5 linked regions of the Ovis aries genome follow. The protein of the gene in region 3 interacts with the protein of the main gene of each other region in a biochemical or structural test. Links are inferred from orthologs where the notes say so. Each region holds a gene or a part of one and is shown on either strand. Other genes may lie near its edges. The genes, in order: HCLS1, granzyme B-like, CASP3, PANX1 and GSN.

The links.
Region 1: of the proteins of CASP3 (region 3) and HCLS1, one has a biochemical effect on the other in vitro, tested with the Homo sapiens proteins (2 studies listed by BioGRID). The link is inferred for Ovis aries from reciprocal best matches to the Homo sapiens genes CASP3 and HCLS1.
Region 2: of the proteins of CASP3 (region 3) and granzyme B-like, one has a biochemical effect on the other in vitro, tested with the Homo sapiens proteins (2 studies listed by BioGRID). The link is inferred for Ovis aries from reciprocal best matches to the Homo sapiens genes CASP3 and GZMB.
Region 4: of the proteins of CASP3 (region 3) and PANX1, one has a biochemical effect on the other in vitro, tested with the Homo sapiens proteins (2 studies listed by IntAct). The link is inferred for Ovis aries from reciprocal best matches to the Homo sapiens genes CASP3 and PANX1.
Region 5: of the proteins of CASP3 (region 3) and GSN, one has a biochemical effect on the other in vitro, tested with the Homo sapiens proteins (2 studies listed by BioGRID). The link is inferred for Ovis aries from reciprocal best matches to the Homo sapiens genes CASP3 and GSN.

What each region holds. Positions count from the first base shown.
Region 1 is NC_056054.1:186,963,268-186,968,959, forward strand, and holds part of HCLS1 (hematopoietic lineage cell-specific protein), read right to left. Parts: intron 5,474-5,692; coding exon 5,363-5,473; intron 4,511-5,362; coding exon 4,455-4,510; intron 3,840-4,454; coding exon 3,770-3,839; intron 3,179-3,769; coding exon 2,967-3,178; intron 2,566-2,966; coding exon 2,461-2,565; intron 1,947-2,460; coding exon 1,715-1,946; intron 1,615-1,714; coding exon 1,546-1,614; intron 1,347-1,545; coding exon 1,210-1,346; 3' UTR 1-1,209. UniProt on the Homo sapiens protein: Substrate of the antigen receptor-coupled tyrosine kinase. Plays a role in antigen receptor signaling for both clonal expansion and deletion in lymphoid cells. May also be involved in the regulation of gene expression.
Region 2 is NC_056071.1:32,606,313-32,612,902, forward strand, and holds granzyme B-like, read right to left. Parts: upstream 3,547-6,590; 5' UTR 3,425-3,546; coding exon 3,370-3,424; intron 2,143-3,369; coding exon 1,995-2,142; intron 1,511-1,994; coding exon 1,375-1,510; intron 1,178-1,374; coding exon 923-1,177; intron 283-922; coding exon 139-282; 3' UTR 47-138; downstream 1-46. UniProt on the Homo sapiens protein: Abundant protease in the cytosolic granules of cytotoxic T-cells and NK-cells which activates caspase-independent pyroptosis when delivered into the target cell through the immunological synapse. It cleaves after Asp.
Region 3 is NC_056079.1:14,231,695-14,237,269, reverse strand, and holds the end of CASP3 (caspase-3), read left to right. Parts: coding exon 1-94; intron 95-1,383; coding exon 1,384-1,607; 3' UTR 1,608-3,713; downstream 3,714-5,575. UniProt on the Homo sapiens protein: Thiol protease that acts as a major effector caspase involved in the execution phase of apoptosis. Following cleavage and activation by initiator caspases (CASP8, CASP9 and/or CASP10), mediates execution of apoptosis by catalyzing cleavage of many proteins.
Region 4 is NC_056074.1:245,717-252,134, forward strand, and holds the start of PANX1 (pannexin-1), read right to left. Parts: upstream 3,644-6,418; 5' UTR 3,191-3,643; coding exon 3,010-3,190; intron 1-3,009. UniProt on the Homo sapiens protein: Ion channel involved in a variety of physiological functions such as blood pressure regulation, apoptotic cell clearance and oogenesis.
Region 5 is NC_056055.1:2,227,149-2,233,005, forward strand, and holds part of GSN (gelsolin), read right to left. Parts: intron 3,961-5,857; coding exon 3,870-3,960; intron 2,927-3,869; coding exon 2,756-2,926; intron 2,130-2,755; coding exon 1,955-2,129; intron 544-1,954; coding exon 419-543; intron 191-418; coding exon 113-190; intron 1-112. UniProt on the Homo sapiens protein: Calcium-regulated, actin-modulating protein that binds to the plus (or barbed) ends of actin monomers or filaments, preventing monomer exchange (end-blocking or capping).

The sequences.
Region 1 (5,692 bases), on a different chromosome or scaffold from region 3:
ATATCCCTTCTCCAAGGGATCTTCCTGACCCAGGAATCAAACCGGGATCTCCTGCATTGCAGGTAGTTTATTTACCAGCTGAGCTACCAGGGAAGTCCAATTGTTCCCTTTTAGTTTTAATCTTTTGTTGTTGGCCAATCTTTTCCTCCTCCTTTCCCCTAATTTGTGCTTCTGTCTCAGCCAACATCATGCACTAAAGAAATGTCATTACTCCCAGGTGGAAGGTGGCTGACCTCTCACAACTGCTGAAGCCAGTAGAAGTTGAACTGCTTAATGTAGACCCTTCCTGGCCCCTGTTTCCCAACCTAACTGCCATTCCCCAGGCCCATCTCTTTTTCAACTGGCTATCAGTATAGTCTAAGGAAAAGGCACAGCCCTTGACACCAGGGTTCAGAGTGATGGGCGGTGATTGGAAGGATTTTTCTGAATATGCGAAAGAGGGAAGGAAAATTCCCTCTACCTGTAATGAGAGTTAGGGGCATTGAGGGCCACGTAAAAGTACTATTTACCTCAGAATCACAAGTATAATATTATATAAGAAAAGAATCGCCAGTCCAGGTTCAATGCAGGATACAGGATGCTTGGGGCTGGTGTACTGGGATGAGCCAGAGGGATGATACGGGGAGGGAGGTGGGAGGGGGGTTCAGGATTGGGAACACGTGTACACCCGTGGCAGATTCATGTTGATGTATGGCAAAACTAATACAATATTTAAAGTAAAAAAAAAAAAAAAAGAATAGAGGTGAACCATGGTCCCACTTTATTTCCAATTTAGGACCGATCAGAGAGAAGAGTCAGAGATATCTCTGCAGAGAAGGAAAGAGAGAAAACAATACATCTAGGAAAACTAGGAAATATAGACATACCTTGCCATGCAAACAGACCAGGAAGCTCAGCACTCACAAAGGAAAGCAGAGTTAGGGGTATGGGTTAGAGGGGGCACTCACGGGGAAGGAGGCAGGACCACAAGATAAGCATCCCTGAGATCATCCTGGGTATGCAGGATAGAGAAGACACTGAGGGGAAGGAGACCCCCTTCTTCATGCCTCCTCTGCTCCAAAACCTGATGGAGAGGGAGAGGGAAGTCTGTCTAGAACTTCAAGCAACTCATGACATCCTGTCAGACACTTGCAGCAGAAATGGAGAGCAGCTGGAGGCAGAGCCACTGGGGACATGCGAAGTCACAGTGCAGCAAGGAGACAGGAACAGTTACTGGAGGAGCTTGACATAATTTGCAGGGAAGAGTCCAAAGTGGCCGTGGCAACGTCCCCGCCACCAGCCCTCGTCCACCATCTCAATGTCAGTGATGACATCATCTGGGTCAAAGGAAATCTCATCACTTCCCTCTGGGGAGAAAATTGACAGACTATTAGGATGGTCAGGCAAAAATCCCTCCACCCCTGTGCCCCCTTTAAAGCTCAGGAAGGGAAAGAGGCCTGTCCTTGATGCCAAGTCTGGGGCCCTATTCTGACCCCCCAAATCCACCCTCCTCTCATGGATCAAGGGGCTCCAGGCACCAGACCCCTCAGAGCACTCCCAACCTACCTCCTTGGTAATCATACAGGGCTACAGCTGAGATCCCAGCTCCAGCCCTGGCTGGGTGGCCTGATGATCCTGCACAGGGAGAAATATGAACATGGTCTTACCAACATGGAGAAGGAACACAGACAGGTCCTCCCATGTAATGGGGGAATTCTTCTGCCCCACCACTCACCAGCCTGAGTGGAAGAAAAAGAGGGATCCTCAGGCTCAAGCACATCCTCATAGTCCGCCTCTGCTTCCTCATCCTGCTCATGTCTGTCTATCTCCGCAACATCCTCGTAGTCATTCTCAGGCTCGGGTTCGGGCTCAGGCTCAGGCTCAGGCATTGCTTCATACACTGGCTCTTCCTGCAGCTGGAAGACTTCTGGAGTCCTGGGGGGCAGAGCTGGGGCCTCCTCATTGTCCTGAGAAAAGATAGTATACTTGAAGAAAGGTGACTTCTGTTTTCCAAGAGATGACTCTCCAAAACCTCCCAGTGGAGGACTGCTAAGACCCTATCGTCCATATGCTTCCACTTCCATGTCCAGTCCTGGCTCCTTCTAACAGCCTCTCCTAGGGAACAGTCTCTCACCCCTCTTCCTTCTTCAACCTCTTCCCACATCCATCCACTCAAAACATCTACCAACAGACGATGTTAATAGAAGGGGAATGTAAAAGGTATGAGGAGAAGGAAATGGAACATAAGACAGATTCCTTGGAAGACCAAGGAAAAATCTAAAAGGGGAAAAGATGACAGCTAGGATGACTGTCCTAGTCTGCCCAGGACTGGGTGATTTCCCAGAATATAATACTTCCAGTGCTAAGGTCAGGATAGCCCCAGGCAAACCAGGGTGGTTGATCAGCCTGCAGGGCCATGTCCACCTACTAGGACATGAGGAGATGGGAAAGGTGCAGATCTTTGGGGGGCGGTCTGCTTACCTCTGGGGGATCCTGCCTTGAGGGCAGGGCAGGTACTGGTTGTTCCCTCTTGGTTCTCACAGGCTCAGGCTCTGATGGTGGACAACTCCCTGCTGGAGGCCAGGCCTGTGAAGGATGAAGCATCTCTCCAGTGAGCAAGAAACTTTATCTTCTCTCCTGTACTGGAACACCCCTTCCTGTCTCTGCCTGTTCACATCTGTCATTCCTCAAGATGGGCTCCAACCTGAAATGACGCTCCTTCCTCTTGTTCTTGCAGCAGTAACTGACTGCACTGCGTGTTGAACTATGTAAATCTTGGGGTTTTTTTCCACTGAGCATTCTCATATGTATATATGAAGCTCAATTACACAATTAGATTTAAATCTTCCAAAGACAAGGATAACACTTGGAGATTTTGCTAGCACAGGGGAGTTCTGGGTCTTCCCTTTTACTAAGGATACAGACCCCCTAGGCTCTTGTCCGGGCAAAGAATGCTGGATGTGGATCCCGGAGGGCTGAGTACTTACCTCTGAGGAGATTTTCTTAGGCAATGGGGCTGGTGCCGCCGGCTCTTCCCTAGTGGCCACTGGTTGCTGAGCCTCATGGCTCATCTTTACCAAGGCCTTTCTCTCCTGTTGCTGCCTGGCCATCTGTTGTGCCTTCTCCTCTTCCTCCCGCTTCCTCTTTTCCTCTGCCATGGACTCAAATTTTGCCTTCAGCCCACGGGCGCCACTAGAAGCTACAGACACAGTCAAGAAAAATTAGGGTTGTCTTGGGTCAGAGGTAGGAGGGTAGCACTGGAAAGAAGAAGAGTCAGTTAAACATCCAGAAGAAGAGAAAATCAAGAAGGGACTCATGGAAATGGAGGTAAAGAGGTATTAATGAAGGAACAAGGGGCTTAGAGGAGGATAAGGTCGCCCTGAAGCCTAGATTTTCACATAGACAGACCATGTGATCTCAGGCTCTTACTCCTTTAAGGCTTGGTCCGCTAACCTGCATCCTTCCTTGTGCACATTTCTTAAATCTATATACCCTCAGGCTACCATCTACCCACTGTCCCCCATCCAAAGTTCCTTTCCCTTTGTGTTCTTCCCAGATGGCTCCCCTCATCCCTGTGTTCGCTACGTACAGTTTCTTCCCCAGTGTCACTCAGATATCCACCTAACCTAATTTTTTTTAGGATAGAGAATCTGGGAATTTGAGGGTAGGGGTCAAGTCTACCTCAGCTAACCTAGGTAGTTAAATGCTTGGAGTAGGTAGTCTAGGAAGAAAAAAAGAATGAGAAGGCAGAGGAGATTGAGGAGCACAGAGAGAGGGAATTAAAACTCACCAGCCTCTATGGGTGTCGTCTTCTTGTAAGCTGTGGTTGGGGCCTCCATTTCATTGAAGCCAACAGCACTCTGCAGGCAGAAGAATAGTATGTGTAGTGGTGGGGAGAGGGAAGGGAGTGGTAATGACCCAGAAGGCAGTATCAGGGATTGGGGCCACTATAGGAGGTCTCCCTAAACTTCTGATGCTCAGTAGTAGTTAGACAGGGTATTCAAATATTGTTGTTTTGCATCAGAGAGATGGGTAAAAAAGTTCTAGGCTTGTAGGACTAGCTGTCCCTTTAAAAAAGCTCAGTGCTCCTGGAATTTCACATCTTTTAAGACCAGTTGCCTGGAACGCAGGAGTACATGAAGTACATGCAGTACATGGAGAGGCGCAGGGGAAGACCGAATGGAGTGGGGCTAGATTATTGACTGAGCTAATCAATACCAAGCAATCAGTGAAGTTTTAAATACTTTTCCCTGGAGTCTGTCTGCCTCCCTGTCTCTCTCCGCCTCCTCAGTCTTCTTGATAAAGCTCAGGCATCCGAAGACACACCCATTAGATGCTGAGGGCAGTCAATGGGAAGAGCAGGAGGACAGTGCGGGGCACCTGGCTTTGCTCATCCTTTTACCCACTTTGCCTCTCACTCCCCTCCATGGATGTCAGGGAACTCTTCCCAAGACACTGGTGCTCCGGTGCTTTACCTTATCCACTCGGTCCTTCTGGATGCCATACTGCCCGCCAAAGCCCTTGGCATAATCTGCAGGATGGAAATATCTGAGAGTCACAAGAGGAGTTAAATGCTAGAAATGTATGGGAAGAGGGGGGAGGAGCATTGGGAAGGAGGACCAGAAGACAGGAATGAGGAAAACAGAGAGATCGATGAGGAAGTGTGTAAGTCAGGGGATAGACAGAGGAATGTGTGGGAAAAGATGAAAAAGGATGGGGGAGAAAAACACCTGGGAGAGAATGGAGATATGAGACATGCGAAGAGAGGAACAAAAAAGAGAGAAGTGGCAGAAAAGGGGAAAATATAAAGGAAGACACAGGAAAAATTAAAGCGAGAAGTTGCTGTGTAGCATAGGCAGCCCAGGCACTCTGTGATACCCTGGAGGGCTGGGATGAGGGGAGGGGAGGGAGGGAACGTATGGATAATCATGGCTGATTTACATTGTTATATGGCAGAAACCAACACAATACTGTAAAAAAATATTTTAATTTAAATTTTAAAAAATAGAAAAAAAATTAAAGTGAGCCCCCCAGCCATCCTCTATGTGTCCCAGGGAAGAAGGCCTCTCTCTGTGAAGCAGAGGGGCCTCTCAGATTCACAGCCAAATCACACTCTTGCCATCACCCAGCCTGTCCATCTTCACCCATTCCTCAATGACCCCTTCTCTTTGGTCACCTTCCTGTGTCCTGCTCCTAAGCTTGCTGCTCTCCTCTCCATCCCGGTGGGTCTCCCCCCACCTACCCCCATACATGTAATGCAGACTCTTCACCCTACCACTTCCTGCATACCTCATATTCTGGGTCCTCTGTGTCAACTTTCAGGAAGTGCAGAAGGAGGGCTCCATGTACGCTATGGCCTCCCTCCTCTCCAGCCCCAACTCACCTCTCTGGGATTCATGTTTCTCTGTCTCTCCCTTGTAGTCATATCCGAGAGCTGCCTTGTCCCGTTTATCCTCCTCTATCCCATAACGACCACCAAAGCCACGAGAGTAATCTACGGTGGAAGGAGCAGTTGTGAGAGCCCACTCTCAGGCCATGGGAAAGTGCTTGGAAGAAGAGTCAGGAGGGCTGGGGGCAGGATGATGGGAAGACAGCGGGGCCTGAACCAAAGGGAAATGGAGTTCTAAGCCAGGCTTTGTAAGTTTTAATTCAACTATGTTTACTCTTTTCCTCACTTCCATTCCAATATAGAAGATTATTTCAATTTTTTTCC
Region 2 (6,590 bases), on a different chromosome or scaffold from region 3:
TTGTGAATAGGAGTCAGTGAATAAATAAGCAACCAGCCCTTCGAGCTCTGCTGAGAGACATTTATTGAGCTATGGGCACCTCCAACCCCACAGTGTGATTCTGGATTAGCCCCAGGGAAGATGGTCTGGTTCCTGCAGTCAGAGGCTTTTCATGGTTTTCTTTATCCAGGGCAGGAAAGTTGAGACTTTGGTGAAGGCCCGAGGAGTTGATCCATCTTCTCGTCCATAAGATACAATGCCCTGGGCCACATTGTCACACACGAGAGGGCCTCCAGAGTCCCCCTGAGGACAGAGAAGCGGAAGGACTGAGTCTGCTCTCCTCCTGGTCCTGCCCTCTCTCCCACCCTGCCATTTCAAGACCCCTATCTGAGAAGGCCACTTTGCAAGGCGTCCCTGTGCGAGACAAGTGGGCAAGGCAGGTCTATGGGCCCCTGGCTGCCAGCCCTGACCTGGACCTTGTCCCTGCTTCACTTCCCCCAGGGGGCAGCTCCTTCTCTGCCCCCAGGTCTCCGTCCCCTCTCTGTCTAGATGCTGAGGGCTGGCTATTGGCTCCAGGCTGCTCTTAGGACAGGGAAGCAGCTGGGAGGGCTGACACTGATCAGGGAGGGGGAGCTCAGTAAGCAGGTGGGTTTCAGCTCTGAGCAGGCACCTGGACCGGTCCACCTCCCACTCAGGAAGCCTGGTTTTCTAACACCTGAGCCTCAGTGCGTGGCAGATTCTCCCTTCCGGAGGAGCGCCAGGTTGGCATTCACTGTAGGTCTTACGTGGCTTGCAGAGGCTCTAGGTCCTCCCAGCTCCGGCTGTTCCCCCTTTTACTCCTGAGAGAGATCCCAAGCCTAGAGGGTGAGGTGGTCCCCAGGTCCCAGATCTTCTGCCAACACCCTTCTCCCCAGATCCAAGCAAGGTAGGCTGTGATTCTCACCTTAAAGGAAGCTTTCTTTGTCTTTGGGTCCCCCACACACAGCTGGTTGGTATGGTTATATTTGCGTAAGTAGACCTCACACTCTCGATCCTCCTGCACGGTCAGCTTTACCTCCTGCAGTGTGTCAGTGCAGGTGCCCGTGGAGTCCCTCCCCCAGCCGGCCACGCTGCACACCTGTCCTGGCTTCACCCGGGCCTTGGCCCTGGGCAGCCTAAGGGGCTTCACAGCTGATGTCTGCTTGGCCTTTCTCTCCAGCTGATGGGAAGAGACAAGAGTCGGCTCAGCCAGTGGTCCCCAAGCCTGGACACGGCAATGACGCTGATGTGTCTCTTCTCTGTCCTGAGCCACAGGGACTGGTCAGGTGGCCAGGATCGGAGGGGAGAAAGCGGTAGGAGGTCCTGGGAGGGGAAACGAGCTGATCCCGGGAGGGCAGGAGAAGCAGGGCGGTTTACCTTTAATAGCATGATGTCATTGGAGTAGTTTTTAGGATTATAGTCTGGGTGGCAGATGGCTCTTCTCACCCCGATGACCTGCTGGGTCCTCTCCTGCTGTTTGATGTTGTGGGCCCCCAGGGTGACGTTCATTGAGCTTCACAGAGAGCAGAGCAGGAGATGGGGGTCACAACCTCAGGGTTTACAGCCCTGGAGCCATGGAGGGCAGGTGACTCCAGGGCAAGGCTGCCACTGAGGGAAATGCAGGCCCCAGGAGGGCCCTGGGGGCTAAGCTGTCTGTACTGTCTGTTTCTTGGCAGCCAAGGTCAGATTCTGGAGCCACTGTGAAGAGCATAACTGTTCTCCATGGGCAGTTAGCCCTAGGACACATGTGAAGTTACATTGGTTTACATTCTGATATCCAGGCGCGCCCTATGTCTATTCTCTCTCCCTTCAGCAACACCTCCAGCAGTGACCTTCCCTCTTTCTCACCCTCTCACTCTCCTGGCCCCCTCTTTCTTGCCCTCCCAGGAACCCTCTTGGCTCAATGTTCCTAACAGCCTGGTTGCTCCTGGAGAAAAAAGGCAGGGCTCCCTTGCCAAGGGTGTTCAGAAAGGTACCGGCTACTTGCTGCTCCTCACCTTCCGTGGCAGTGAGCGGCTGTCAGCACGAAGTCCTCTCGAACCAGGAACCCACCGCACCTATGCCGGACGTCCTGATTCCAGTACTGAAGATACGCCATGTAGGGGCGGGAGTGGGGCTTGGCTTCATGGCCCCCGATGATCTCCCCTGAAGGAAAAGGGCTGTTCTGCTTGTGTACCTTGTTGGCATCGGCTTCATGCTCAGAACTGCTGGGCACTGGGGAGTCCAGCCTGGCCTGGAGTTGGTGGGGCGGGAGGAGGCTGGGAAGGGGCTCAACTTCCTCCTCTAGAACAGAGCAGCTGTCTGGGTCTGCGAATCTGTCTCCCACACATAATTGGAGGTGAGCTTAGAATCTGCCTGCAATGCAGGAGACTCAGGTTCGATATCTGGGCTGGGAAGATCCCCTGGAGAAGTGAATGACAACCCACTCCAGTATTCTTGCCTGGAGAGTTCCATGGACAGAGGAGACTGGTGGGCTACAGTCCTTGGGGTCGCAAAGAGTCAGACAGGACTGAGCAACCAACACTTTCACTTTTCATTCCTGTCCTAGGGATAGCCAAGTCCTAGAGGCTTCTGAAAATTCCTCCCCGACCTGTGCTTCATTCTAGGTGAATTTCTAAGGGCCCCATTATCCTGTTTTATTCAGGACGGCTCTGTTTTTCAGGGCATAGGAATTCAGAGTAGGGACCTAGATGTCGCCATAGCCTCTTTCCCAGGGCCTGACTGGTAGTAAGTGCCCGGTGTTTGTTGGCTGCATGAAGGAGTCACCATGCCCCCTCCTGCACCCTCCCTGCTCACAGTGGGCCTCTGGATGGGGGCTGTTGGTATGGCCAGTGCTGGTGTGCTTCTGGGAAGCAGAGCAGTTCAGGTCTACCAAACACTGGCTTCATCCTTGAAAGAGAGGAGCACCTGATGGCCTGGGAAGGGAAGTTGAGTTGGGTAAAGGGCCTTGGGTCTAGGGGTTGAGCAAACACAGAGGCACCAACTCCAGGGTCTGCCAAGCAGATGCTGAGGTAACTAGAAGCAGAGGCCAGACCCACTCTGCCCTCTTCAGGGGCAATTTAGTATTTTCTTTTCTCCAGGTTGCGACCATCTGCCATCACTTCTGGGAAAGTTCTACTTTCCAGAGGGCAAAGGGAGGGCTGGAGGAGGGGCTGGTACCCACTGGCTCCTCTTGAGAGCAGGCTTTGCACTCTCTCTCTCCTGCTGGCGGTTTATCCAGCATCATACTCCCTGGTATGAGGTGGGATGGGAGCTGGTGTTCTGAATGTTCCTTCCTGGTGGATAGCTGGATCAGGGACATGCAGAATGGGCGGGACCTCTGTGCCACCTGGAGGGTGGGGTTGGGCCCCTGGGATGGGGATGGTCACTCACCTGCCTTTGCCCTGGGGGTCAGGAGAAAGGCCACCAGGAGCAGGAGTGGCTGCATCTTCCGAGAAAGACTGCCCAGGATGGAGATGCTGGTACTTCCTCCTGGCTCTCTTGCAGATCCCCCAGCCTCCTGGAGAGAAACGCAGTGTCCGTGGACTCAGTGATCTCGTGTTCCCCTCCGGCTTTGCAATGCTTCATCCTAAAGGCTTTCTATGAAAGCTTGCCCCGCCCCCACTCCATCTGCCTGATGACGTTCTCTGGGTGGTTGTGTGAGAATCATACTGTGACCACACCAGTACCCACAGATGATGACTCAGAGCAGACCACTTGTTCCAGCCCAGAGCAGGAACCCAAGAGGACAAGGTGGGGACTGTAGGGTGTGGTATCGACCAGCAGAGGTAGTAGAGCCCAGAAACCAGAGTCCCCAGTGGTAGAACCATCAGGGCCTCATTTCCATGCTGCTGAGTCCACAGGATAACTTCTTGAGCAGATGTGGGTTTAAGCTCTTCTCTATGTTATGACCGAACACACTGGAGATGCATCTGCTTCCCTTAGAGAGCTGACCATCTGCTGGAGGAGAAAGAGACATCCATGACCTGAGTGCAGCATGGGAAGGGCTGTGGTCCAGGGATGCACAGAGCTCGCCTGCCCCCTACTAAGTCCATAAGCCATCCACTCATCCTCTTAACTTCCTTTCTAAGACATGTACACCCGTGGCTGATTCATGTCAATGTATGGCAAAACCATTACAATGTTGTAATTAGCCTCCAATTAAAATAAATTAATTAAAAAACCAAAAAACCCCCACCATTTAAAAAACTTACAAATACTCAGAGTGATAGAGTACATTTCTCTTGTCCATGTTTCGCAAACAAACGTACTGCGCTTGGCATTTATTGGTCTAATTTAATGAATCACTATGACTCTAGAAACTGAATATACAGATTGATATAAGCCTAGGTCATTCCTCCTTTGAGTAGGCTGGGGCGGATTCCACTTAAACCACCTGAACTAAGACTGGGAAAGGGCTGGTTCGCCAAAGGAAGTTTGGATGACTAAGTGGCCCATGCCATGTGAAGTGGGAGAGCATGCTGGGTGAGTGAAGACCAGTAATTGTCCTTTGAGTATTGTCTGTGCTGTGTCCAGAGGGCCACACTTCAGACTCAGCAGGCCAGGCACATTAGAGGCTCACACTGGCTGAACAAACTCTGCTGAAGACCTTGCTGTATGGAAATAAAGGACAGTTCTTTCTAAATAGTCCAAACCCAGCCCTGTTCAAGAACAACAGAGAATCTCTGAGTGGTTAGAGTCTGGGGATTTAAGTGTCTATCTTGACGTAGTCTGTACTTTACAGCTTTCTGAGGAATATTATGCATCAAAAGACATAATTTCAGGGTAAATATCCTCCTTATCAAACCAAATACATTTATCGAACATTTACTTTTTTGAACTTAGTTTGCCCACCAGTAGAAATTTTAAAAATAAAATTAGCCTTGTTATTTGTGTGTAGTATATGTTCATTAAGAAAATTTGGAAAGTAGAAAGGAAAAATATTACTCATTTGCTTATGTCTCACAGATAGATTATTATCATGGCAGTGCATTTAAAATACTTGGGATGATAGTAGGAAGTATTAGGAAGTGTTCCCCCTTCTTTAATTTTTTGAACAAGTCTGGGTGAGACTAGTGTTAATTCTTCTTTAATGTTTATAGAATTCACCAGGGTAGCCTAGGATTTTCTTTGTTAGAAGGTTTCTGATTTTTGATTCAATCTTTATTGTCATAAGTCTGATTAGATTTCCTATTTATTTTTGAATCAGCTTTGGTTATTTCTGTATTTCCAGGCAACTGTTCATTTCATCTTGATTTTATCTAATTTGTTGGTATGCAAACATTGATAGTATTCTCTAGCAATTCTTTTCATTTCTCTGAGGTTGGTAGTAGTGTCCCCTTTTTTAAATTTCTGATTTTAGTAATGTGAATCTTCTCTCTCTCTTTTTTTGTTGGTCTAGCTAAAAGTGTATCAATTCTATTGATCTTTTCAAAGAACCAACTTTTGGTTTGTTGATTCTTTTTATTTTGATTGTTTGGCTCTAATCTTTAGTGTTTCCTTATATCTGCTGGCTTGAGTGGTTTGATCTGTTTTTATTTTGTTAGGCTTACAGTTGTGTTGCTGGTTAGGAATGTTTCTTCTTTAATGTCCTCACGTATAGTTATGTGTTTTCCTCTGAACATGACTTTCACAGCATCCTATACGTTTGGTATGTTGCATTTTCATTTTCACTTGTCTCAAAGTACTTTCTAACTTGTCTCATAATTTCTTCTTAGGCCCACTGGTTACTTAAGAGTGTGTTGTTTAATTTCCATATATTTTCCTTTTTGTGAATTTTCCAGTTTTCCTTTTTTCATTCATTTCTAGCTTCCTTCCTCTGTGGTTAAAAAAGACAATTTGTACTCAGTTCAGTTCAGTTCATTTCAGTCGCTCAGTCATGTCCGACTCTTTGCGATCCCATGAATTGCAGCCTCCTTGTCCATCACCACCTCCCAGAGTTCACCCAAATTCACGTCCATCGAGTCAGTGATGCCATCCAGCCATCTCATCCTCTGTCGTCCCCTTCTCCTCCTGCCCCCAATCCCTCCCAGCAACAGAGTCTTTTTCAATGAGTCAACTCTTCGCATGAGGTGGCCAAAGTAATGGAGCTTCAGATTCAGCATCATTCCTTCCAAAGAAATCCCACGGCTGATCTCCTTCAGAATGGACTGGTTGGATCTCCTTGCAGTCCAAGGGACTCTCAAGAGTCTTCTCCAACACCACAGTTCAATAGCATCAATTCTTTGGCGCTCAGCCTTCTTCACAGTCCAACTCTCACATCCGTACATGACCACTGGAAAAAGCATAGCCTTGACTAGAAGGACCTTTGTTGGCAAAGTAATGTCTCTGCTTTTGAATATCCTATCTAGGTTGGTCATAACTTTCCTTCCAAGGAGTAAGCGTCTTTTAATTTCATGGCTGCAGTCACCATCTGCAGTGATTTTGGAGCCCCCCCAAATGAAGTCCGACACTGTTTCCACTGTTTCCCCATCTATTTCCCATGAAGTGATGGGACTGGATGCCATGATCTTCGTTTTCTGAATGTTGAGCTTTAAGCCAACTTTTTCACTCTCTTCTTTCACTTCCATCAAGAGGCTTTTTAGTTCCTCTTCACTTTCTGCCTTAAGGGTGGT
Region 3 (5,575 bases):
GGTATTGAGACAGACAGTGGTTCTGAGGACGACATGGCCTGTCAGAAAATACCAGTTGAGGCAGACTTCTTGTATGCATATTCTACAGCACCTGGTAAGAAACTTACAGATACTGAAATAGGTAGATTTTAAACACTGAAGAGTGTGTTCCAAAGGCTATAGGGATTTTGATATCCATAAAAAGCCACTGTGTCTTGTTTTAGGGTGCCCTAACCACGGAGAAGTCTCAAAAAGTTGTCTTTAGCCCAGTTTGGCTAGAAAATGTGCCTGTGTAAGAAAGCACATTTGCACAGTGTCATTCATGAACTTGACACCACCTGGAATCCATATTATAATACAGGCCAAGTCAGAGCTTCGCCCACTTCCTAAAATAGGAGAGAGGTGTGTTTTCCAGGAATTCTTTGGGAGCTAGGAAACTGAAAGGATAAACATGAATAGCATATCAGTGGGTAGAAGTGGAACAAGAGAAAATAAGGTTAAAAATGATTTATGGCTAGGTTATCAACCTGCGCTTTGTCTCTGGTTGTATTACACGTTATGTGTGTGAGCGCTTGTCATCATATAAATTAATATATATTGATCATGGACTTGTTTACTCATACAACTAACTCAGGGTGTGTTTGGAAATACAGGGCAAGTGTATTTTTAAACAGTATAACATTTTTAAATATAGTTGATATGATTTATTTTAACCTCCAGGCATCTTTCCAGTTCAGATTAAAAGCAGTGGATCCAGGGACTTCCCGGTAATCCAGTGGTTAAGACTTGGTGCTTTCACTACTGTGGGCCCGGGTTCCATTCCCAGGTCCAGGAATTAGGTCCCCCAAGCCACTCAACGTGGCCAAAAACACAGCAATGAATCCACTAGTTTATCTGGGAAAATAACGATAAATACACTATTTCCCCTTTTTGGACTTTTGAATATGCTATAATGTGTTTATTATACTCCATTCTTTCCCTGTAGACAAATTTAAGACCCTCAAATGTATGTGCGTACATAAGCAGGTTGTTGGATAAGCCAATCATCTCACTGCAACACCATGCTACTTATAATGATCCTTTTTTATTTCTTTGCTTTTGCATTTTCTGCCTATAAACCTGTTCTTCCCTATTGGAAGGGAAGCCCAGGAAGTAGAATTCTCACTCAGTGGTGCAGTTAGCCTGCAATTGTTTTCCTTGTCAGAAGCAGAGGTATATAGACAACATCTACTTGGTTTTTGTTTTGTTTTCCCCTGGAACCAAAGTTATGGTATATTTTTCTTTTTATGGCTAATAATACCAATGCATGTTTATGTTGTTTTTTACCTTCATGAATATGTCACAATTGATTAAATCAGCTGACATCAACTATCTGTGATATTTTGGTTATATTTTGCCCTATAGGTTACTTTTCCTGGCGAAACTCAAAGTACGGATCCTGGTTCATCCAGGCTCTTTGTGAGATGCTGAAAAAGTACGCTCACAAGCTCGAGCTCATGCACATTCTTACTCGAGTTAACCGAAAGGTAGCGACAGAATATGAGTCCTTTTCCACCGATTCTGCTTTTCATGCAAAGAAACAGATTCCTTGTATCATGTCTATGCTCACAAAAGAACTGTATTTCTAATCACTGAAGACACAGATGATTTTTGTTTTTAACTTGTATGCCAAGTGACCAAACGGTGTAAATGATACTATATTTTCCTCTCACCTCTAAATCTAACCTAATGACCCAGGTGATAACTTTGAAACATGCCGCCTTCCTAGCAATAGAACTACTGTGCAGCTACCTCAAACACAGTTGGGTAGTTGAGACTGAGTTTAATGAATATGGATCATTATGAGAAGAAAATGACTGTAAATTAGCAGTTCTCTTAATTACCGAGGTTTAGTGCTGATGCTATGCTACACATATTCAAGCAATGATGGAAAAAGGTAAACACTGCAGTAGTGTATTTCAGCCATGTGGGTATGCCACTGTATCAGGGAACATGCCATGGTTTTTGTCAAACAACAGCAGTGACGATATGGAATGAGGCATCCTAGAACTCCATGGTCCGTACGTGTGGTCTAAGACGTGAAGACCTTGATCTTAAGACAATGGTATTTTTACATCACCTGTTTGAGCTCATGGTTTTGTGATGTTTGTGCTGAGCATATCTTTGCTGTTTAAAAGAAATCATGTTTTAGCATTGAAAAAGAACTAAATGTTTTACTTGGGAAGGTGTGAAAAAACTAAGTTGACCCTGAGGGTAAATGCAGCAATCATAAAGGGCCTCAGATTGAGGACTGTAAGGTGCTGAAATGCAACTCTTCCACCAGCTGCTGGGCCTCATGTGCCTGCAGAATATCTAAAGGGCTCTTCTGTCAAAACCTCAGACTTCGATCACACTGATAAGAGCGTGAGTTGAAGAAATTCTGTAGGGACATACTAAAACACAACTTCAATAAACAGTGAGGTAGGAGGAAGAAACAGTCAGTCCATCAGCTGGGCACTCCATAATTAGAAGATGGTTCGAGCCTGACCATGGACACTGCGCAGTCTCTGTGTGGTGGGGTCAGAGCCATAGATTACTGCTTCAAGAAAAAGAATACGGGCTAGATTCTTCACAGCTATGGGTGTGTGTGGAAGATGCTCCCAAGGCAAGAAGCTCCAAGAACGTGAATCAAATTAAACTTCTGAAATGGAAATTTTCCAAAGAGGGTAAGAGTCATCATAAAAATCCTAGCCCTCTAATTTTTGTTTTATTTCAAATGATGGCTTTTAATTGGATGTTAAAGCGAATTCTTATCCGCCTTTCTGCAGATAGTCCATTTTATAAAATAGACTTGACATCACTATCACTGAGTATCAGTCCACTTCTTACTTGACGCTGGAGGGGAGGAGGTCTGCAGTTTTCAGCTTCTCAGGAATTGCGTAAATTAATGCATAAGTACCTGAATATGGTTTACAAAAGGCTCTGAGTGTTTGGGGAAAACACTAAGGTTTCTCTTTCCCCTTCATGGCTAACAAGGTCTCAGTCACCTTTGCTACGCATGGGCATGGATGTGCCCAAGTGTACACCTCACCACGGAACTTTGTCCAGGAGCTACGGTTCTCCCGAAGAACAAGTCCTGCACTCACTCCAGAACATCCCTTTCTGCCATTCCTGAATGTCAGCCCGTAAAAGCAATTTCCATTAGCATTTCCTCATTTTCCAGTATAAGCAGTGAATGTGGCCTAATGGTCTGGACCCTCATCCATCCTTTGCAGAAAATGGGGAAAAAAATCATAGTACCCTCGGCAGTAAAATTTTTGAGCATGTTAACTTTTATTCTGTTAATGTTTACAATCAAGGGAGAATGATACAGTTATGATCGTATACTTTTCTCTGAAATGCAAGAAGCAGGGCACCCAGGACTTGAGCAGGCATCCAGTCTTCCCTCCTTTGGTGCCCAGGGAAACTGAAGGCCAGAGATGGGACGCAGACCGGGGAGGCTCTGAGCCTGCTTGCTCAGGAGGTGCTGAACCTTCTGCATCGCTGTAACCCACTGGTTCCCATGAGCGTTCTTGTGCTAAACAACGGTGCTCACATTTATAAATGAACGCTCTTTGTTTTGATTGTGTCTGTAACTTTTTCTGAGTGAATGAAGCATGCTGTGGGATCAGAAGGTATGTTCCTATGTGACAATTTTGTAAAAAGTTTGTTATTATGCATTTCTATTTCCAAATACAAATTTTAATTTAAAATGACCAATAAGTTCAAGTTCCTGTTATTGTTTCTGATGTGCTGCTAATTGAAGTTAAAATATTTTTAACCAAGAGCTTGATTTGGGAGGACCAACAATGATGTGACGGGACCGTTTAATCAAACACTTTGAGATGGTGTTAAATTACCAAATAGGGTAAAGGAGCCTTCTTGTTCCCTCTAGGGCCCTCTCAGAAGGCCCTGTTTCTAAAATTACATGATGCCAGGAAGGATACTAAGTTCTCACAAACCACAGCCCCTAAATATGACCATATTTTTGTTTGTTTCCTTGCTTTGAGGAATGGGGAGTAGCAGAGTATAAAGGCTATCACTGAAATGAATCATTTTCTACCCATAAATTGTTAACAGGGCTAATGGTGGAGGGGAGGTATGGAATAAACCATTAATGTTCCCCGATGGTCAGCTCTGGGAGAGGTGTTGAGGGGAAGAATTTCCCTCTTAACAAAGGAATATAAGTGCAAACATGAGTGGTTTGCATTTCTTCTAATATTTCTGTAGTAAACATATATTACTTTTAAGTCAGAAAACTGAAATTCTCCTAATTGGGAATAAGGGATTCCTATTTCCAAGGAGTGGAGAGCAGCAGGAATAACTCCTTTAAGGCTGTTGCAGGAACTTCCCTGGTGGTGCAGTGGCTAAGACCGTGCTAGAGGTGCAGAAGGCTGAGGTTCAGTCCCTGGTTGGGGAACTAGGTCCTGTGTGCTGCAAATTACTTTTTAAAGAAAGACTCTGTTAAAGCTGTAGTTTTGTAGTACATTGACAGTTGAGCCCGTTCTTTGTGGTTGTTTAGTCACTAAGTCATGTCCAACTGTTTTGCAACCCCAATGGGCTATGGCCCTCCAGGTTCCTCTGTCCATTGGATTTCCTAGGCAAGAATACTGGAGTGCATTGCCATTTCCTTCTCTGGGGAATCTTCCCCACCGACCCAGGGATCAAACCCACATCTTCTGAATTGCCAGGCCAATGCTTTACCACTGAGCCACCAGGAAAGCCCTGAGCCCATTCTAATCTCTGCTAAATAAAAAAGGCTAAAAAGAAAAAGACCAAGAACCTGATAGAAAAATGAACCAAGGGCCGTGAACGGATAGTTCACAGAAAAAGAAAGACCAAATATCCTTTACACCTCAGAAGAAGAGATTAATCATCTTAATAAGAGAAATGCAAATTAAGGTATCATTCATCACCTGTGAGACTGACAAAAATCCTCAAGTTTGATAACACTATGTTGGCTGAGCTGTGGGGAAATGTATTCTCCCACTGGTAAGAGTGCAAAATGCTGGGGGAGAATCCAGCAATAGCTGTCTAATCATTTACTCTTGAAGTAGCAAGCGCAGGTCTTGAAATTCAAACTAACCTGTCCACGTATAAAAGTATATACACAATTCTTCATTGCAACATTGTTTTCATGGTACAAAATGGCAGCAACCCAACTGTAAAAAAGATACATCCCCACAGTGGAACACAATTTGCTGTAAAACAGAATGAGGAGAATCCTCTTAAACTGATGGGCAAGGATCAGCATGCCTGAGGAGGTGGGAAAGAACGAAACACAGAACGCTATAGACAGTAGGATGTAGTTTGTATAAAAAAGGAATAGGGGTGGGAGGGTATAAGAGTTTGCATAAAGTGAGGAATGGATAAGGATACATGCATGTATATGCACGCACACATGCAATGGAATATTACTCAGCCATTAAAAGGAGTGAAAATGCCATTTGCAGCAATATGGATGGACCTAGAGACTGTCATGCTGAGTGAAGTAAGAGAAACAGAAATAGTGACATCCCAAATATGCAAAATCTAAAAAGAAATGATACAATGAGCATATTTACAAATAGAAACAGAG
Region 4 (6,418 bases), on a different chromosome or scaffold from region 3:
TTAAACTGTCCTCTGCTGTGCATCAGTTAGTGTGGAATCGGGGGTTTTTTGTCCCCCTACCCAGCTTACCCTCTCAGGGAGCCAGGCATGCAATGCTTTAGAAGAGCTGAGCAAAGTATCAAGCTTAACCAGACCAGGGGTCTATTTTAATTCTTACATCAATCCAACATCAGCAGCTCACCTTGCAAAAGTCTTTAAAACTCTCCAGCCACAACTCAGAAATTAAATGATTCTCCTAGCAACTCCCTCCGGAATGGCTCTGCTTGTAATTCCGGCCGCCGCAGGGCAGGCAAGACCAATGAGCAATGACAGCTCCAGGTTGCTGCAAAGGCCACCAGTGTGCCCTCCACCATGCCTGTGGGCACAGCCCCGCTCTGCCCTTCCACACCACATCACCTCTGTGATGACCCACAAACGCTGGACAGATGGCTAGGCAGAGCCCCTTCTGCTCCCACCTCCCAGAGCGTGCAGGACCCCACCAGACCAGATCCACACACTCTTTCCTGTACCTCTTCTCTCCTCTCTGAAGTCTGTCCTCTGGCTTTGTCTAATGTCATCCCTGGTCCTGCCTTCCTCCTCTCGAATGTCCTGAAGCTCTCAGTATACAGGAGTCTTCTGACAGCTTCACCCAAGCTCCTGCCACCTGGTGCTCAGAGCTTAACACTGCCCTGTCATTGAATCACACACTGCTGAACCACCTTACCTCCAGCAAGTCTGTTCCTGTGCCCAGCTGGATGGTAAACTCCTACAGGGCGGGGAGGGGACCACACCTCAAACTCCTTCAACCCCTACCCCCACCCCCCGCCAGTAAAAAAAAAAACAGCAAAAGCTCAGCCTCCCACTGGGTAAACCTATCCAAAGTAAATGCCTTTCAGACAGCCCATCAGTTAGAAGGGGCAGACAGCACTCTTAAGAGTCTCTGGAATACGTGGGCTAGAGGTAAGGTTTGATCACAGATGGTACCCAGCTCCTGGCATCAGATGGCTGCTCCCCCATGGCAGAGCCCACGTCTCCCCAACTCCTGGGTCCTCAGCACCCAGCACTGGGTCCTCAGGAAACATTCACTGAAGGGACAGATCATCTCCAGAATCCACGCTACATTGTGGTTTTCCTTTCTCCCGGAAGCCTCAACTCACAGGAAGGCAGAGGGAAAGCTTCGACTATCAATGCCTGCCCAATGACAAGGAAAACTGAAGACTACTTTTCGAAATGAATTTGGTGACTTCCTACCAAGTTGAACAATTCTGTGGTGCAGATCACAAAATCAAGCTCACTGTAACCTTTTTCTAACCAACTCTTCCCTCAACTTCACTACTTCTGTCAATATGACTCTCCAATCACTAGGCCTGCAGCCTTTCCGTTATCTCTGATCAGTTCAGCCCTTTGGGGCCTCTGGAAAGCTATACACCCAACAGCGAGGCTCCTTGCTCCTGGAAACCTCCCATCCTTTCCCTTCTAGTCGTGGGGCCCACACTCACAGGAGACCTCAACTGATTCCGAATCTTTCTGGCATCATTCCTAGCTCTAACCTCCTCCCCTTCACAGACCTTACACACTGCTGCTGCTAAGTTGCTTCAGTCGTGTCCTCTGTGCGACCCCGTAGACGGCAGCCCACCAGGCTCCGCCATCCCTGGGATTCTCCAGGCAAGAACACTGGAGTGGGTCGCCATTTCCTTCTCCAATGCATGAAAGTGAAAAGTGAGAGTGAAGTCGCTCAGTCGTGTCCCACTCTTAGCGACCCCATGGACAGCAGCCCACCAGGCCCCTCGGTCCTTGGGATTTTCCAGGCAAGAGTACTGGAGTGGGATGCCATTGCCTTCTCCAGACCTTACACACTGCCCTCAGCCTATTACTTATTAAGTGCTGTTTTCAGCTAGTCCAGCCTCTACTCAAATCATAACTTTTCACTTTTTAAACCAAGTCTTCTGTTCTCACTGACTCAGGCCCATATTCACTCTCATATGTCGGAAACCCTGACCAATCCTTCCGCCTCAGCGAGGATACTCTCTCGCTGAGTCTGTCCTTCCAGGAACTGGGCCTTCTCGGCCATCTCAAAATCTTGGCAGAAGTGTCAATTCTGCTTATCCACATCCTACGCACGGGCAGGGGCTCAGGGCCAGCCCAGCTTCTCACACAAGCTTTCCCCATCCTTCAGCCCACTGGCCACCTCCGCTCCACAGAGCTGTGTATAGCCTCACAGGCTGCCTTCCTGTTGACTCAAAACACTTTCCCCCCACCCCATCCCCCACCCCGCCCCCGCCAAAGTCAGAACAGCTGGTAAGGAAGACCAGCTGCTTCGTAGCCACGTGATCCTGCCCAGACCACCAGACTTTCAGAATCTCACAGAACTGTTGCTATAACACATGAGAATTTACATGAAGGCGATTCATTCATCTCACATTCCAAAAAGACCATCCAGGTAGAGGATCTGGATATCCTTCTAATACTGGCCAAGAGCAGTTATTTCCCATCATTCACAACCCTGCAGCTGCTGTCTCAGTACACATTAATTTAATGTAAGACAAGGGAGAAAGCACTTTGATTGGGGTACTTTTTCTCATATCCTCCATTTAGACACTAAGGAGCTTCCCTGATACAAATTTTGGGTGACTGCAGAAATGTGGGCGTGGAGGGAAGAGGAAACAGTTGTTCCAGGCAAATCTAGTGACAACGGCGCCGGTCTTAGGAGTGAGGCTTGAACACTAAGCCACAGTCAGCAGTAGGCACTGACTGGGCACACTGCCAGTAAGCCATCAGTGGGCAGCAGGGAACAGGCGAACTGGGGAGTGGGACACGAGCAAGGTCCACGGTTCGGGGAGGCGGGGAGCACGTGGACAAAGGATGCTTCAGACCATCAAATCTGGCTACCTTCCTTCCCAACGTGCATATGCCCTTGACAACGGCGAGCACCGCCAGGGGCGCGCGGTAAAATCACTTCCAGCCAGAGACCAGGGCACCTCTGATAACGCCGGCCCAGCCCGCCCCGATCCCGCCAGCCCCGGACCTCACCAATGGAGATTTCTTGCGCGAAAGCCAGCGAGATGAGCAGGAGAGGCAGCCCCACAGCGATGCACGTGACCATCTTGTCCACGGCTAGCTCCAGCCGCAGCCCCTTAAACTTGGGTTCCGAGGGCTCCTTCAGCAGGAAGTCCGAGAAGACATACTCGGTGGCAAGGTGCGCAATGGCCATGGCTGCGGCGCGCCGGGCTGGGCCGGGCAGGTTCGCGAGGCAGGCCTGCGGACTGCCGGCGTGGGGAGGGCCGTGCGGCGCCTTCGCCCGTCACCAGCCCAGCCCGCGGGTTTCGCTTTCCCTTTGCCTGCTCCCCGGTGGCTCCCACATTCCGCCGGTCTTTGCACCGTGATGCGCCACAGCCATTTTCTCCCGGCGCCTGGCCTGGAGTGTCCCGGGGCTGCTCCGCGGGCACGGGAGCCCGGGTCGCGCCCGCTCCTCCACCGCAGGCCGGGGCGCAGCCACCCCGGCAGGTCCCCGGGCTCCGCGCCGCCGCCGCGCGCCCGAGGGCGAGAGTCCGCGGCCAAACAAAGCACGAGCCGCGCCGCGAGGCCCCGGCTGCGGCCGCCCCGCGCGCTCTCGGCCCGCCCCGCGCGCTCTCGGCCCGCCCCGCGCGCTCTCGGCCCGCCCCGCGCGCTCTCCCGGAACCTCGGAGGAGAGCGAGCGCCGAGGGAGCGCGGTGTTTCCGGGAGCCGGGGGGCGCGGTGAGCGCGGCAGCGCCCGCAACCCTGGGAAAGGGGCGTCCGGGCGAGCGGCACCTCGGCTAGTCCTCGCCCCCCTCCCACCCTCATCCCCTCCCCTTCCGGGCGCCGGGAAGTTTGAAGTCCCTTCCGGAAGTGGCCTGTCACCCTGCAGACCGGACGGCCCCCTTACGCCTCACCCCCAGCATTTCTACATGGCGGGATCGGGTCAGAAGGTGGTGCAAAGGGCGCCATAAAAGGCGAGCGAACGGGTTAGACGGAGCAAACGTGGAAGACGGGGCACTTAACTCTTGCAGGAACACTGGGGGCCAGGGAGGTGCAGGCTCAGAGTGGTGAGACTGCGCCTGACTCTGTCTCAGGGGTCTGTGCTTCGCCTCTCGCTTTGCCCACGGGAGCCTTGATCTGGGATGCTGAGAGACAGTCAAGAGACGCTGTGATCAGCAACACTTGGAGCTGGCAGGACCTTTGAACAGGAGGGCTCCTTGGGCCGGGGCTGACGTCTCTGCTCTTTGTACACGGGCAGGTCCGTGCAGCCAAGCCTATTCTGTGTGCGCTCACCTGCCCTGTGTACATCTCCACCCCGCCCTGCCCTCGGAGTCCTCGTCCCACGGCCTGCACGACCCTCCGCTTAGGGGACTCATGGGACCAGGACCACACAATGGCCAGGAACACAACCCGCATCCCCTCTTGGCCTGAACTCCAGTCTTCCCCATCTTGCTCAAAGCAGTGCCATGCGACCATGCGCCCAAACTAGACACCTGGACTGCCTTGTGTAACAGCGCCCTCTCTCCCAGCTCCCTTAACCAATTTCCAAATTCTCTGGCTTCTAGCTCCTAAATATTGAACATCTAGTCATTTTCCTCCACCTGTGCTGCCATCCTCTCTCCTAACCACGTACAGGTAGGCCCTGCAGGCTGGGAAGCCCTTCTCCCCAGCAGCTGCCAAAGGAAGCTTGTAAAATCTCCAGTATTATCCTATCACTCCCCTTCTTAAAGTGTACCTTGTTTTTAGGATAAAATTCAAATTATTTTGCATGGTCACTGCCTGCCTTACCAGTTGCACTACTTTCCCTTCAGTTCTTCAACTTAGCCAGCTCTTGCCTCCTCCAGACCTTCACCTGCCCCAAAACACATCCACAGTAGCCTCTTTGCCTGGACTGTTCTGCTCGATGTCACTTCCCCTGGAGGGTCTTCCTTGCAAACACTAAACAGGATTAATTTTTGTTAATCCTTTGTTAAATATTCTTGTGATACCAGCTGCAGGCCTTGGGAAAGTTGCATGCCCCCTCTGTACCTCATACTGCTTAGGATTGAGGTAAAGATTGAAAGAGTTAATATACATAAGGTGCCTAGGACATTGCCTGGCGACTGATGAATGCTGTGTACATGTTATCCACTGTTCCCCTCTATTTTTCTTCTTAATGAAAATCACAATTCACTTCAGTTCACTTGAGTTCAGTCACTCAGTTGTGTCCGACTCTGTGACAACATTAATTGCAGCAGGCCAGGCCTCCCAGTCCATCACCAACTCCCAGATTTCACCCAAACTCATGTCCATCAAGTCGGTGATGCCATCCAGCCATCTCATCCTCTGTCGTCCCCTTCTCCTCCTGCCCCCAATCCCTCCCAGCATCAGAGTCTTTTCCAATGAATCAACTCTTTGCATGAGGTGGCCAAAGTATTGGAGTTTCAGCATCAGTCCTTTCAATGAACACTCAGGACTGATCTCCTTTAAGATGGACTGGTTGGATCTCCTTGCAGTTCAAGGGACTCTCAAGAGTCTTCTCCAACACCACAGTTCAAAAGCATCAATTCTTAGGCGCTCAGCTTTCTTCACAGTCCAACTCTCACATTCATACATGACTACTGGAAAAACCATAGCCTTGACTAGATGGACCTTTGTTGGCAAAGTAATGCCTCTGCTTTTGAATATGCTATCTAGGTTGGTCATAACTTTTCTTCCAAGGAGTAAGCGTCTTTTAATTTTATGGCTGCAATCACCATCTGCAGTGATTTTGGAGCCCAAAAAATGAAGTCTGACACTGTGTCCACTGTTTCCCCATCTATTTCCCATGAAGTGATGGGACCAGATGCCATGATCTTAGTTTTCTGAATGCTGAGCTTTAAGCCAACTTTTTCGCTCTCCTCTTTCACTTCCATCAAGAGGCTTCTCAGTTCCTCTTCACTTTCGGCCATAAGAGTGTTGTTATCTGCATATCTGAGGTTATTGATATTTCTCCTGGCAATCTTGATTCCAGCTTGTGCTTCTTCCAGTCCAGAATTTCTCATGATGTACTCTGCATAAAAGTTAAATAAGCAGGGGGACAATATACAGCCTTGACGTACTCCTTTTCCTATTTGGAACCAGTCTGCTGTTCCATGTCCAGTTTTAACTGTTGCTTTCTGACCTGCGTGTAGGTTTCTCAAGAGGCAGGTCAGGTGGCCTGGTATTCCCATCTCTTTCAGAATTGTCCACAGTTTATTGTGATCCACACAGTCAAAGGCTTTGGCATAGTCAATAAACCAGAAATAGATGTTTTTCTGGAACTCTCTTGGTTTTTCGATGATCCAGCGGATGTTAGCAATTTGATCTCTGGTTCCTCTGCCTTTTCTAAAACCAGCTTGAACATCAGGAAGTTCATGGTTCACGTATTGCTGAAGCTTGGCTTGGAGAATTTTGAGCGTTACTTTCCTAGTGTGTGAGATGA
Region 5 (5,857 bases), on a different chromosome or scaffold from region 3:
TCTATCTGCCTCTCATCTGCTGGGATCATGCAAGGTAGGCACCATCACGCCCATTCTGCAGATGAGGACATGGAGCTCAGAGAGGGAAGTTACTTGTGGGACCGTCTGTTACCTGGTCCCAGGTGTCCAGAAGCATGACGTCATCGGTGGCCAAGTCTTCCTGCATGAGCTCACCAGGGACCTCTTCGATCTAGGAAGGGATGGAAGAGGGTAATGAGAGCCCACCTGCAAACCGCCGTCCCCCAGCTCTCTCTGCCCTCCATGGGGAGGGCTGAGCTGGCTCCAGCCTGTGGGGGTCTGCACTGGGTCATCGAAGGTCTCTCCCTGCCCCCGCTGCGGATACCTCAGCTTGCTCCCTGGAAAACACCTCCCAAGGGGCGAGCAGAGGCAGCGACCTCAGACCTCCCCTGGGACTCACCACAAAACGTCCGATCTTGTTGGAGCAAGCGAAGAGGCGAGGAGGGTGGGCGTCCATCTTCTTGTCCTTCAGCCGTGGGGACGTGCGGTAGGCGGCCTTCCCACCCAGGGCCTCCCAGAAGCTATCTGTGAGGGGAGGCCATGCCAGTTACCAGCCGACACCACCTCCCCCTCCAGCACTTCCTTGTAGACTCTGGGACAGACGCTGCCTTCGCACAGCCAAGTGCTCTCAACCGCCACCCGGCATCTTAAAACCCCAGCATGACAAAGAAGGAAAGGGCCTGCAGGACTCGAGGGTGATGAAGCAGAGGCCCGGGAGGGTGGACTGGGCAGCAGACACAGGGCCGGGGCTGCTCCTGGTCTGAGACAGGCGACGCCCTCGAGGCGGCTGAGGCTCAGAGAGGCCGAGCCACTCGCCCAGCGCCAGACAGTGCACGCGGAGTAAGCTCCTCATCCAGCTCCTGTTCCCTGTACTTTCCCACTATAGCTGCTCTAGCCACGTGTGCTTTTTATTCAAATGCATTTTCCCAGCAGTCACATTTAAATACATGTTAATTGAAGCATGTGACTGGCGGTGGTTTAGTCGTGTCTGACTCTTTTCCAGCCCCATGGACTAACCACCAGGCTCCTCTGTCCACAGGATTTCCCAGGCAAGAATACTGGAGTGGGTTGCCATTTCCTTCTCCAGGGGATCTTCCCGACCCAGGGATTGAACCTGAGTCTTCTGCACTGGCAGGGGGATTCTGTACCCCTGGGCCAGCAGGGAACCCCATAGGCACGTGACTCGTGGCCACCGCATGAGACCTAGCAGACACGGGACATGTCCACTCTTTCCAACGTTTTCAGTGGATTATGTGACTCTAGACTGAACTATCCTTCCCCATTTCTGCTCAGCATCAAGCAAGAGAGAGCGGGCTTAAAAGTAAGGAGGGAAAGATCTATGGTTAGCATAATGGAAGTGTTCCTGACCCACACTCTGGAAATAAGGCAGGCTTGTGGCATTTCTGTCCACGAAGCTTCTCAAGGTTAGGCTGATGCTGCCACCTACAATCTTTCACAGCTTTCCCGCAAGTGAGCCCCACTCCAGCTGCCTTCCCCGCCTGCCCCAGCCCACACTGAGCTCTCCTTTCTCTAACTCCCAGACGCCTCCCTCTCACCGACCGCATTCTCATTTTCATCTCGTGTGTACGTGTTAGTTGTGTCCGACTCTTTGTGACCCCATGGACTGTGGCCCGCCAGGCTCCTCTGTCCCTGGGATTCTCCAGGGAAGAATACTGGAGTGGGTTGCCATGCTCTCCTCCAGGGGATCTTCTCAACCCGGAGATCAAACCCAGATCTCCCGCATTGCAGGCAGATTCCTTACTGTCTGAGCCACCAGGGAAGCCCCGTTTTCATCTCACCCACTTTAATGGACACACGTTAAGGGACAAGTACTGAGGCAGGAGGAGGTTAACGAAAGCCCCGAGCAGACAGGAGGCAGGGGAAGCCAGCAGCTCCGTCCCCAGCGAGCAGCAAGCCCCCCGCCCCTCACTCCTACCTGGCTCGCTGCCTTCTGCCACCTGCACGGGTTGGGCCCGAAGCACCCTGAGCAGCTCCAGCGCCCCAGTCTTCTCTGCCTCACTGGCTCCCGCACCCACCCACAGGTAGGCGGCCGAGGGGGTTTTCAGGACAAAGGCATCGTTGGAATTCAGTGCTCCAGCCTTGGGCATCACCTGGGAGGGTAGTGCTCAATTAGTCAATCAGGAAACAGGTAAAAAGGCTTCAGCCCCCTCCTCACGGTCCAGGAGATGCTGCAGCAAGAGCAGCTCTTAAGGGTGGATTTGGAGGAGGGAGCGTGTGCCCCATCAGAGCTGAGGACAAGGACTCGGGACGCTGAGAGGCCTCGCTGACTCCCGTGAGTCACAAATGCACTGTGCTCAGCCAAGGAGACTCTAGAAACCTGGGATGCATTAATAGAAGTTGAGCACCCAGAACAAAGGAGGTGATGATCCCATTGTCCTCTAGGCTGCACAGTAGGATTATGCTCAGCTTCTGCACCTTCCACCATGAAAGGGACAGCAGCCAAGTGGAATGGAATCAAGAACAACATCCAGATCGTGAAGAATGGACTATTTGTTAGGTAGTGACTTGCCCGTCGTGGAAGGTATGCAAGGGACACTGGGCATTCTTGAAACAAGGGGAACTCTAATACATACAATCCTGCTGCCAGGGCAGGGAGATACAAAAAGCTGCTTCTTAGCCCCTCAGCCACCCCCACCAGATCCAGAGATCTGCCCATCAGGCCTGAGAGGTTTCTGAGAGGCCAATCCTGCTGGGGGTCCGGGGCCCGGGGCATTACCTCCACGGCCCGGGTGGCTCCAGAGCTGCTGGCCCGGACCTGGAAGAGGCGGGTGCTGGCAGGGGCCGTCTGCCCACCCTCGCGGGAGGTGCCACCCCTGTAGATGATCATGGGTTTCCCGCCGAACAGGCTCATGAGGTGAGCGGGCTCCTTGCCTTGGACCACACGGCTCTGAGAGGGAGATGGGAGCACAGGTCAGGAAAGGGAGGCACGAGCATCGTGCTGTGCACACACACTGGGCTCAGATCAGGGCAGCTGGCGTGGCCCAGGCTCACCCCCAAACAAGCCGTCACGCTTGGGTCTGTGTGTGGAGCGGGGCGTGGCCCTACAGCGCGCAGGGGCTGGCCGGGGAGCAGGACGTGCAGGAGGGCTGGAGATGGCCCTGCTGGCTGAGGTCCCCCGGGCACTGCTTTGGCGTTTCCCCTCCCACAAGGCCTGGCCTGGCTGAGGCTGGGTCCAGTCCAAGAACCCAGAGAGCCCATGTTTGCAAATATTCCCTTAAATGGAAGCCCAGGGATGGTTCGTGGACATTCTTCCCGGACTGTGACGTCAGCCTCGGCCAAGAAAGCTGGCAGAGTGGTGAGAAAAGAGCCTTCCAGGTCTGGAGAGAGCCCTCCTGCAGAGCCAGTGCAGACTGCGGTCGAGGGCTTGGCGGTGGGAGGAGGGGACAAGGAGGTCTGAGCGGAGGACGGACCTCCTCTGTCCTCCCATCTGCTCCTGCCCTGTGTGCCCGCGTCACTTCAGATTCCAGCTGTGGCCCGTGCTGCCTGTATCCAGATCACCGCACACGGTGGCTCGTGGTCCCTTCCTAGCAAGAGCCACCACTGCTGGGTCAGAGCCTAGACCCCAGCTCCACCCTGCTGGTGAGAATTCAGGCCGTGTGTGATTATACACCCTCTGCCCGCATGTCTAATGAACCTCTTTCTCCCACGACTAGACTGTAATAAACCACATCACAGCGGTTCAGGGCAGGGCGGGGCTGGGAGCCGGGGGGAGGATCTATCTGTGTTCACGTTTGCAGACGCAGCGTCCGCATCCTGCATAAATGTCTGTCAAAAGGATGGATGCGTGGGATGAGGGACGGTCAGATGAGTGAGCAGCGGGCTGGGCTCACCTGCACGGGAGTCCCTCCCAGCTCCTCGTCCAGCTGAGCCGTCAGGATGGCCGAGGCGGCGACCTCATCCTGGGTGGACTGGGCGCCCTGCCTGGAAGGGAAGTGAACCTCAGCACCTCGGTTTGCACAGAGGCCAGGGCCCCTCCGTCACCCTGGGCTTGAGAAACCCACAAATCTCCAGATTACAGGTAATGAAACTGACAAATAGAGAGGAAAAGAGATTTCTCTGAAAAGGAACCAGAGCCAGGAACCAGACCAACACACCACACACCCCAGCTCAGCATGTCGTCTTCTTACAGCGGTCTGACCACAACCAGGGGACGTCCTCGTCCCAAACCTGCCCCACAGGGAGATGCACGGACAGGGGCTTTCTGCCTCACCCCTTCCTCTGCCGTCTAAATTTCCCATGACTGACCTGTGTTATCTGCATAAGCAGTCTAACAGATCAACGTGCTGATCAAAGGAAATGTTCTAAAAGCCTTCTCGTGAATTTTGTTCCATGTGTGTATTATTAATATCTAGTCCAGAAACATTTCTTTCAAGCTGCTTGTAAAAGTCTGAGGTTGTCAAACTGAGAGGCAACCTACAGAATAAGACTAATGCTCTTCCACAGCATCCAAGCTGGGAAAGAAGAGTGATGCCTGAGGAACTGTCACAGATTAAAAGACGGAGAACACGATGATTAAATGCCACTGAGGAGATGTGATGACTAAATATCATGTGAGACCCTGGGTTAGATCCCAGGCCAGAAAAAGGACATTAGTGGGAGAACTGGCAAAATTCAAGAAGCATCTATAGAGGAGGACATGGTCTTGCAACAATGTTAATTTCCCAGTTTTGAAAACTGAACTATGGTTAAGTAAGAGGTGACCCTAGAGGGAACTGTAACAGATAACTGTCTGCACTGTTTTTGCAACTTTTCAGCAAGTCATTTCAAAACGAAAAGTTTAAAAAACAAGAAACCCATCAGTCAACCTTTAAGATTGCACAGAAAGAGAAATGAACTGAAAAATATTATACTGAGATATCATTTTATCAACTCTAAAGTTGACAAACAGCGGAAGTGTGATAACACAGTCCACCAGTGAGACCAGGAGGAAACAGATACTCTCATCTGTCACTGGTGAAAATGCAAACGGCACAAAGTTCATCTAGAGAAACTGGGTGCTATCTGTCAAAAGGACGAGCGCATTCACTGTCAGAGCCAGCAATCCAACTTCTGGGAACTCACTCTAAAGATATTTCTCTACGCATCCAAAATGATGTTTGTTTAAGCCAACTAATCATAGCAGTGCTTGTAATAGTAGGAGTCTGGAATCAAAGCAAATATGCATCCGCAGGGAATTTGTTAAATAAACTACAGGACAGCCACACAGTGGAATATTACATGGCTGTAAAAAAAAAAAAAAAAAAAGAGTAAGGGAGCTCTTTATGGACTGACATAGTCTGAGCTCCAGGAAGTATTAACTGAAAAAAAAAAAAGCAAAGTGCAGGACAGTATACACAGTATGCCATCTTTTGCATAAGGAAGGGAGGGGAACTAGGGATACAGGGTCAGCTTTGCTTTTATCTGCATAAAAATGGCTGGAAGGGTATGTAAGAGGCTAATGAAGGCAAGCACCCACAGAGGAGTGAGGGTTTTAGAGCAAGGTGGGAAAAGTCGTAAACATATCATCTCTCGTTAAAGAATTAAAAATAATTCTTAGTTAGAAAACATCAGAGGATAAATAGAACTTAGAGTGGAATTGAGGGAGAGATTTTCTGTTCGTTTCTCCCTAGTCCCCATGTCTCTCCTACAATGGACGTGTGATGCTTTTATGAGATGAGTTTACAATTTGTTTTGAGAGTAAGACCAGCGGTCTTGCCCCGGAAACAAAAGCCTTTCCCCGTGGAGCACGGCTGTGCTGGTGCAGGTTCACACACCTGCAAGCTCTCCTCAGCCCTGTCCTCTGCCCCAGCCGTGATCCCGGCCTGGGCCCACCGCCCCA